2 linked regions of the Canis lupus familiaris genome follow. The protein of the gene in region 2 binds, or shares a complex with, the protein of the main gene of each other region. Links are inferred from orthologs where the notes say so. Each region holds a gene or a part of one and is shown on either strand. Other genes may lie near its edges.

Region 1 (3,826 bases), on a different chromosome or scaffold from region 2:
AGCTCAGGCTAGAAGCTGAACCGGCTTCACTTAGACCTCCAGTGAGGCCAGTCAGTGCAAATTCAGCTACTGACAGTAGTTTTCAAAGAGGGAACTGTTCATCTGATGCTATTTATAAATAGGCAGTGTGGCATGTGGTTGGGATACAGTGGGCCTGGGTTTGAGCTTTAGTTTGAGTCTTGGGCAAGAAACTGGAGTCGGAAATCTGTTTCAGTCTAGTCATCATCATTGTCCCCATCCCGTCCCCCCTGTGACGGAAGAAAGTGTTTCATTTTTCTAAGCCTCATTTTCAAGATAATATTTGAAGCTTCTTTCAGCTATAGAATTGTCTGTGTAACCTTTTCCCTATGGAAAAAGATTTCAGTAAAATCTAGGAATTTACCCAAAGGTCCATTAATAAAATCTAGGAATTTACCCAAAGGTCCATTAATACATTAATACATGCTGTTTTGCGATAGATTATGGTACCAGTCATATGAAATTATATCCCCTTATACAAATACCTTAAGTATCTACATTATACAATTGATCGTTAAATCATCTTACCTACTTTTTTTTATTACTATGTTTTATCTGGCATATGGTAGTAAGAACAGAAATGTCAATTTCTGCTGTTACTTTCTTGACTTTGGTATTGGGGTTTCTGATGGGAAAAGTTTGGAATAAGGAGGTAAGGAGATTTCTGTAGTTTGTCACTACTCAAATATGTGTCATTGGTTCCTAGAGTCATTTACAAAGTAATAAAATTATTGGTGATAGGATATTGACTGGTGAGATGAAAACACTTTAAATGCCATACTTTTAATAGAAAAAGTAATTAATGGTTGTGGTATCTAATACAAAAGGTTCAAAAGATAATAAATATAGTAAAAAGTAAATAACATATTTTCACTCAATCCCATTTCTTAAAGGCAGCTGTTACCAGTTTCTGTGAATCTTTTCTAGAACTGTTCTTCGTATTTGTATAAGCATATTCATCCCTTTCTTTGCATAAGAGAATATAATATAGATTATATTGTTCTTTTAGCTTTCTCTTTTTTTTATGACTGCATATTATTTCATTGTATGATGAACCATGATTTATGGAACATTTAGCTTGTTGCCACCTTTTTGCAATTACAAGGGTGGAGTACTCATTCTTAACATTGTATATATTTTTGTGTACATACGAGAGTAGATCTGTAGGATAAATTTCGCATAGTGGAATTGTTAGTCCCGAAGGTAAGAGCATTTCAATTTTTGATATTAGTGGACAGATTTAAAAAAAATGCTTAATACAGCTGTAATGGAAATACAGATATAAAAAAAAAAAAGGAAATACAGATATAATTTGAACTTGCAAATCAAATATTTTAGCTATGGTGGTATAAAATAGGACCCCTAAGAAATTGTATTATGATTTAATGTTTTTCCAGATATTGATTAAAGAATTATTTCTGTTTTAAGTAAATGAACTTCTTATTTATGGAGCACTGAAGATGGAAATTTGCAGTGAGAAACTAATTTTGTCAGCACAAATGCTATATATTCTTATTTTCATGACATCAAAAAGTAAAGCATAACTTTAATACTTTATTGGGGAAGTATTTTTATGTTTTCTAAACAGTGGGAATAAATATTTTTAACTTTGTATAGGGCACAGACCATCATGAAGGCTCGATTAAAAGGAGCGCAAACGGGTCGAAACCTCCTGAAGAAAAAATCTGATGCCTTAACTCTTCGATTTCGACAGATCCTAAAGAAGATAATAGAGGTAGAATAAACTGTGTTTACAACAGTTGCTTATTTTAAAGATACCTAAGGAAAATCCAGCATGGCTTTTGGCATTTTAATTTTTCTTTAAGTTATTTTAATTAAAATTTTTTCCTCCAAAAGTAAAAATACTATTATGACTAACAAGCTTCAGATCATTTAATAAAATATGGACTCATTACCCTTGCCTGCAAAGCCCTACTTGATCCGATCTGGCCCCTGCCTGCCACTCTGATCTCATTTGGAGCGTTCTCCCTACCATTTTCTTTCCGAACCTTTTCATTAGTTATTTCTCCTGCCTGAAATGTTCTTTTCCAGGACTTCTTTTGACTTGCTCCTCTTGTCATTCTGGTCTCTTCAGAGAGGCCATTCCTGATCGCCCAACCTGAAGTGACCACTGTATTTACTTCTGTCACATATCTTTCTTTTTTTTTTGTCTTCTTTCTTTCTTTCTTTCTTTCTTTCTTTCTTTCTTTCTTTCTTTCTTTCTTTCTTCCTTCCTTCCTTCCTTCCTTCCTTCCTTCCTTCCTTCCTTCCTTCCTTCCTTCCTTCCTTCTTTTTCTTTTTCTTTTGATTTATTTATTTGTGAATGAGCGAGAAAGAGCAGGAGCATGCGCGGGGGTGGGGGTGGGGTCAGAGGCAGAGAGAGTCTTAAGCAGATTGCACTCAGCCCAGAGCTGGATGCAGGGTTCAGTCTCATGACCCTAGGTGAAACCAGTAGTCCAGTAGTCAGACACTTAACCAGTTGTGCCACCCAGGCTTCCCACATTTCCTTAGTTTTGTCATAGCACATACTACTGCATGTTTTCTTGTTTGATTGGTTGCCTCCACTAGAGAGTGTTAGTTCCATGAGAGCAGGGACTTAATCCTTTCAGCACTTAGTTCCTGTTCCCAGAACAGTGTTGGCACATAGTATGTTTCAACTCAGTACTTTTTTTTTTTTTTTAAGATTTTTTATTTATTTATTCATGAGAGACACAGAGAGAGAGAGAGAGAGAGGCAGAGACACAGGCAGAAGCAGGCTCCATGCAAGGAGCCTCATGTGGGACTCAATCCCGGGTCTCCAGGATCACACCCTGGGCTGCAGGTGGCACCAAACCGCTGCGCCACCGGGCTGCCCTCAACTCAGTACTTTTTAAGTAAATGATAGGTGAATACAGAAATACATTTAAAAAGTGAAGATCCCTTCTCACCCCCTACCCTTCTCTCATTTCCTAGAGATGTTCTCTGGAACACTTACAGTCTTTTTTTCATCATGGATGTTTTCAGTAACACACAGCTGTTATACATTATATAGTTCAGTTCTGCCTCTTCCCCCTGGCAGAGTATGGGTAGCTTTCTGCATCAGTACGTAGATCTGCCTCTTTCTTTATGATAGCTGCATGGAACACCATTGAATGGATAATGGGATTTAACCATTTTTCTGTTGATGGATGTTTGGTTTTACTATTTAGTGGGTGAGGGTACTTTTAATCTTCATGTATAGGTGAGTACTGACGACACGGACTCCATCTTTGGCCCTCCATCTTGTTCATGGCTGCGCTGTGACCTTCCTCAGGGCTCTGTGTTATAGGCTCCATGGAGGTTTAATGTGTGCCCTGACCAGAATGTAGGGAGGCATTGTTCTGATCCTCTCTAGAGTGGTGCGCAAGTAACTCAGGTGGGTGGCTGGCTCGCAGGAGGCCCCACTTGAGGTAACTAGGGGGGGTGGCTGGCCTGCAGGAGGTGCCACTGGAGGTAACTGATCAGAGTGGCTGGCCTGCAGGAGGCACCACTTGAGGTAGCTTTACTGTGACAGTCACACTATGCCCCTCCCTCTATAAAAGCAGGGGATTATGGGCCAGGTTTGGTGGAAGAGTAGTCTCTTGGGTGATTAGCTGGTCCAGTGCCTCCTGTGGGTAGGTTATCCTGAGTAAAATGGTGTAAATGGTTCTGGAAGACTCGTGATGTTTTTTATTCTCAGGGTGCCTTCTGAGTCTGGGGGATACTTGGCTGGCCCTTCTCCACCTTCTAAGAGGCAGCAAGCCAACCTGGAGATGAAATGAAGCCATCCAGGCCAGGCAAGGGAAGCCCA
Region 2 (3,826 bases):
CCTAAGTGTCCACTGATACATTAATGGATAAAGACAATGTGGCATGTGCATGTGCGTAAAGAATATTCTGGCCGTTATGTGTATACAGATAGAATATACTGTGTTTTCAATATATACATGTTATATTACACAATAGAGTATGACCCAGCCATTAAAAAAAAGGATGAAATCTTGCCATTTGTGACAACATGGGTGGACCTAGAAGGTCCATATTAAGTCAGATCGAGAAAAACAAATACCATGTAATTTCACTTATGTGTGTAATCTGGAAAACAAATGAACAGACAAACAAGGAAACAAATTCATTAAATATAAAGAACAATCTAGTGGTTACCAGAGGGGAGAAGGTTGGGTAGATGGGCAAAACAGGTGAAGGAGATTAAGAGGTACAAACTTTCAGTTATAAAATAAATTAGTCATGGGGATAAAAAGGTACAGCATGGGGAATATAGTCATTAATACTGTAATAACTTTGATAACAGAGGATAACTACACTTATGGTAAGCATTTCATAAAGTATATAATTGTCAAATCCCTATGTTATATACCTGAAACTAACATAATATTGTATGTCAACAATACTTCAATAAAAATTTTAAAAAAATAAGACTTAATGCTGATCTTGAGAATAACTTAAGTAAAACACAAAAGTGAAGTTAAAAAAAAGTGGTTCCTCTTCATAAAATCTAATACATTATCTCTTTTTCATTGAAAACTTAAAATAAATACTATGCTTAAAACAAAAGTATGATAAACAAGTAGTAAAGATTCCCTAGTGCTAAAGCTATAATGTACCATGCCATACATACAACATTATTTTATTAGGATAGAGTAGTGACTCATTTATTTATGAATTTTCTATTTAAAATGGAAATCATGATCAGAGAATTTTAACCCTTCAAACCGATGTCGTCATTCTGTTTATGCTTTACAATATGTGTTCACTCTCAAGAAAATTGTAATTGGTTTCCCCTAAAGTTTGGGAACTACCAAAATATTAAGAGCAATACGAGTTCAGAAGATAATACTAATTTCTTAAAAAATGATCATAAGTTCCTAGTACCTTTCCTTAATAAATTCTTATATAAATCAGGTTTCTTTATGACACCATTTCATGCTTTTGATACTATTGGTTGTTGCTGTTTCCACCTTTGCCATAAATCCTTAAATTCTGACTTGCAGAAAGTGGCAAAAAATTGAACCAAAAAGGATACAAGTTTCTTCATACACTTGGATAGTTGCCATGTCACCCTCCAATCGGATAATCTCTCCAACCAACTCACTGTGGCCCACTCTCACCAGCTCATACATGGCTGCACCGGCCATGTCACAGGCTGTAACCACTGAAAAGAACAAATGAGTTTTTAGTAACTTAAGACTCCGTGAATAGAGATAATTAAGATATCCAATTAATCCAATAATACATCTTTCTCATATATTCTTAAGAAAAAATGTATGAAACATATATCGTTTTATAAGAATATAAATTTTAGCATCTGATACAGAGGTAAACAAAATAAATTTGTTAGGCTAAAGTTTATTCATTTACATAACACACATGAAAATTATTTTCAAAAAGTCTTAAGTTCTATACAGTAAATTCTTACCTAGCAGCATTGAGGCACATTTTGATCAACTCAAGTTGCTATACTACATGGAATGATGGGATTTAGGAACAACATAAAACATTTTTAAACTAAAATTGGAACAAGAGCTTTAGCTAGTAGCATGGCAGAATCAGTTTGCTGTGTTGTTACCATTCCTTTGAGAAATAATATTTAAAATTACATCTTTACTTTGACTTCTAACACTTCATATTGGTGGTTCTTAAAGCTCTTCTGGGACAAGAACCCCTTTGATAAACTAATGACAGCTCTACCTAGAAAAACTCACATATGCATCTACAAAAGTTTTTTTCAGAGGCACCTTGTCTAGCTCAATCAGTAGAGCATGCAACTCCTGATCTCAGGGTTGTGAGATCAAGCCCCAAGTTGGGTGTAGAGATTACCTAAAAAATAAAACCTTAAAATTTTTTTTTCATAGACCTTTTAGCCTTTCATAAGGATGTTTATAATCAGTCATCACCACTGGGTGAAGTCCTGATTAAGAATTCTTATTTCTTATAAATTCTGAACCAGAATTTTTACTTACTATTTTATATTTTAGATCATGTTGTCTAGTAAGTAAAAGTTATTTTTCTGGTAGGCAGGGAAAGTTGTACATTTTCAGATATGTGTAGGAATAACTCTATTACCTAATACATAGTTCTAATAAATGTATCAGAAGGCTGAATATTAAAAATATTCAAGTAGAAACCATTAAAGTATTAATATTCAATTAACGCGTTAGGACAATGAAGATTTGTTAATTTCATAAATATTTACCTCTACACCTACCATATAAGAATAATTAAGATGCACAGAAATGTCAGAGATGACTAAAATTTTATTTTACTATTTTTTAAGAGGGGGGATGGGCCAGAGGGAGAGGGAGAGAGAATCTCAAGCAGGCTCCCCACCACAGGGAGACTGACTCAGGGCTCAATCTCACAACCCTGAGATCATGACCTGAGCCCAAATCAAGAGTTCAACGCTCATGACTGAGCCTCCCAGATGTCTCTAAAATTTTAAATCATATTTCACAGGGCTGCCTTGGTGGCTCAGTCGGTTAAATGTCTGCCTTTAGCTCAGGTCATGATCCCAGGATCCTGGGACTGACTCCTGCATCCGGCTCTCTGCTCAGTGGAGGGCCTACTTCCTCCCTCTCCCTCTGCCTGCTGCTCTGCCTACTTATGTGTTTTCTCTGTTAAATAAATAAATAAAATCTTTTATTTTTTATTTTATTTTTTTGTATTTTTTTATTGGAGTTCGATTTGCCAACATATAGTGTAACACCCAGTGCTCATCCCAAATAAAATCTTTTTAAAAACCATATTTCAGAAGCTTAAAAATATGCCACTTCTCTATCATTTTATATTAAATACTTAAGAATAATAAGTTCTAGGAGTTTACTACAAGTTTCAAAGAAACATTTTTACCTAAACTCTTTTGATGGTATTCTTTGTCTTTTCCCTAAAAATTCTTGAGTGTAGCCTGTGTTTCCTAAAGATGCTTCAATCAAGGGGAAAATTGTTTCTCAAATGGCAAAAAAGATTGAAAACAGTGAGATGCATTTTTGCCAATAAGTTCAAGCTCAAACACCAAGTTCTAAGCTTCAGTAGAAGCTTCTTAGGGAGAAAATAAACACTGTGACTGACTGACTTTATTTGCATAAACACTGAAAAAGGGTCATCACCACTACTGTGAATAGAACAAAAAAAGACTATAGAATGAGGTTTATAAAAAGACATAAGGAAAAATATCCATGGCCTAAGGATTATAAATCAATGAGCAGATTTTACCTATGGAAAACTATAAATCATATTTTACAGTTAGATTAAAATGAATACTAGAATGAGATTTATCATTTAAAATGCAGTACTGCAAGTTTTGGCAGGATAAACAAAGTTTTTAACTGCTTTCTATTATTCTCACATCATAAAACTTCTTACCCACATATAACTAGTTATGAGATATCTAAAATAAGTGTTCAGAAGGATTTATATATGCAAAGAGCCAAGAATGATATTGTTGAGAAATGCTCTGAAAAAAATTATTTAAGGGCAAACTACATAAACATATATTTACTGAATGACTATTATCTGCAAGATATTATATACTAAAAGCTATGAACTTTATATAGTCTTTTAAGCTTAGATTTCACACAAAAATTAAGACATCTAAAACTGAACACCAATTATACATTTACATAATAAACAGGGTATTAC

What was found.
Region 1: the proteins of ATP6V1A (region 2) and ATP6V1D are in contact, whole or in part, in a cryo-EM structure (PDB 9B8P), measured with the Rattus norvegicus proteins. The link is inferred for Canis lupus familiaris from reciprocal best matches to the Homo sapiens genes ATP6V1A and ATP6V1D. Residues at the interface, in NP_001101788.1 of Rattus norvegicus: Ala366, Met368, Pro369, Ala370, Asp371, Ser372, Asp416, Ser418, Asp436, Lys438, Glu491, Gln494, Leu495, Val496; in NP_955418.1 of Rattus norvegicus: Lys4, Asp5, Arg6, Arg167, Ala171, Val175, Ile176, Arg179, Tyr186, Glu190, Arg194, Glu197, Tyr200, Arg201, Lys204, Ile205, Lys208.

Annotation. Positions count from the first base shown.
Region 1 is NC_049229.1:41,626,091-41,629,916, reverse strand, and holds part of ATP6V1D (V-type proton ATPase subunit D), read left to right. Parts: intron 1-1,635; coding exon 1,636-1,753; intron 1,754-3,826. UniProt on the Homo sapiens protein: Subunit of the V1 complex of vacuolar(H+)-ATPase (V-ATPase), a multisubunit enzyme composed of a peripheral complex (V1) that hydrolyzes ATP and a membrane integral complex (V0) that translocates protons.
Region 2 is NC_049254.1:18,715,309-18,719,134, reverse strand, and holds part of ATP6V1A (V-type proton ATPase catalytic subunit A), read right to left. Parts: intron 1,344-3,826; coding exon 1,215-1,343; intron 1-1,214. UniProt on the Homo sapiens protein: Catalytic subunit of the V1 complex of vacuolar(H+)-ATPase (V-ATPase), a multisubunit enzyme composed of a peripheral complex (V1) that hydrolyzes ATP and a membrane integral complex (V0) that translocates protons.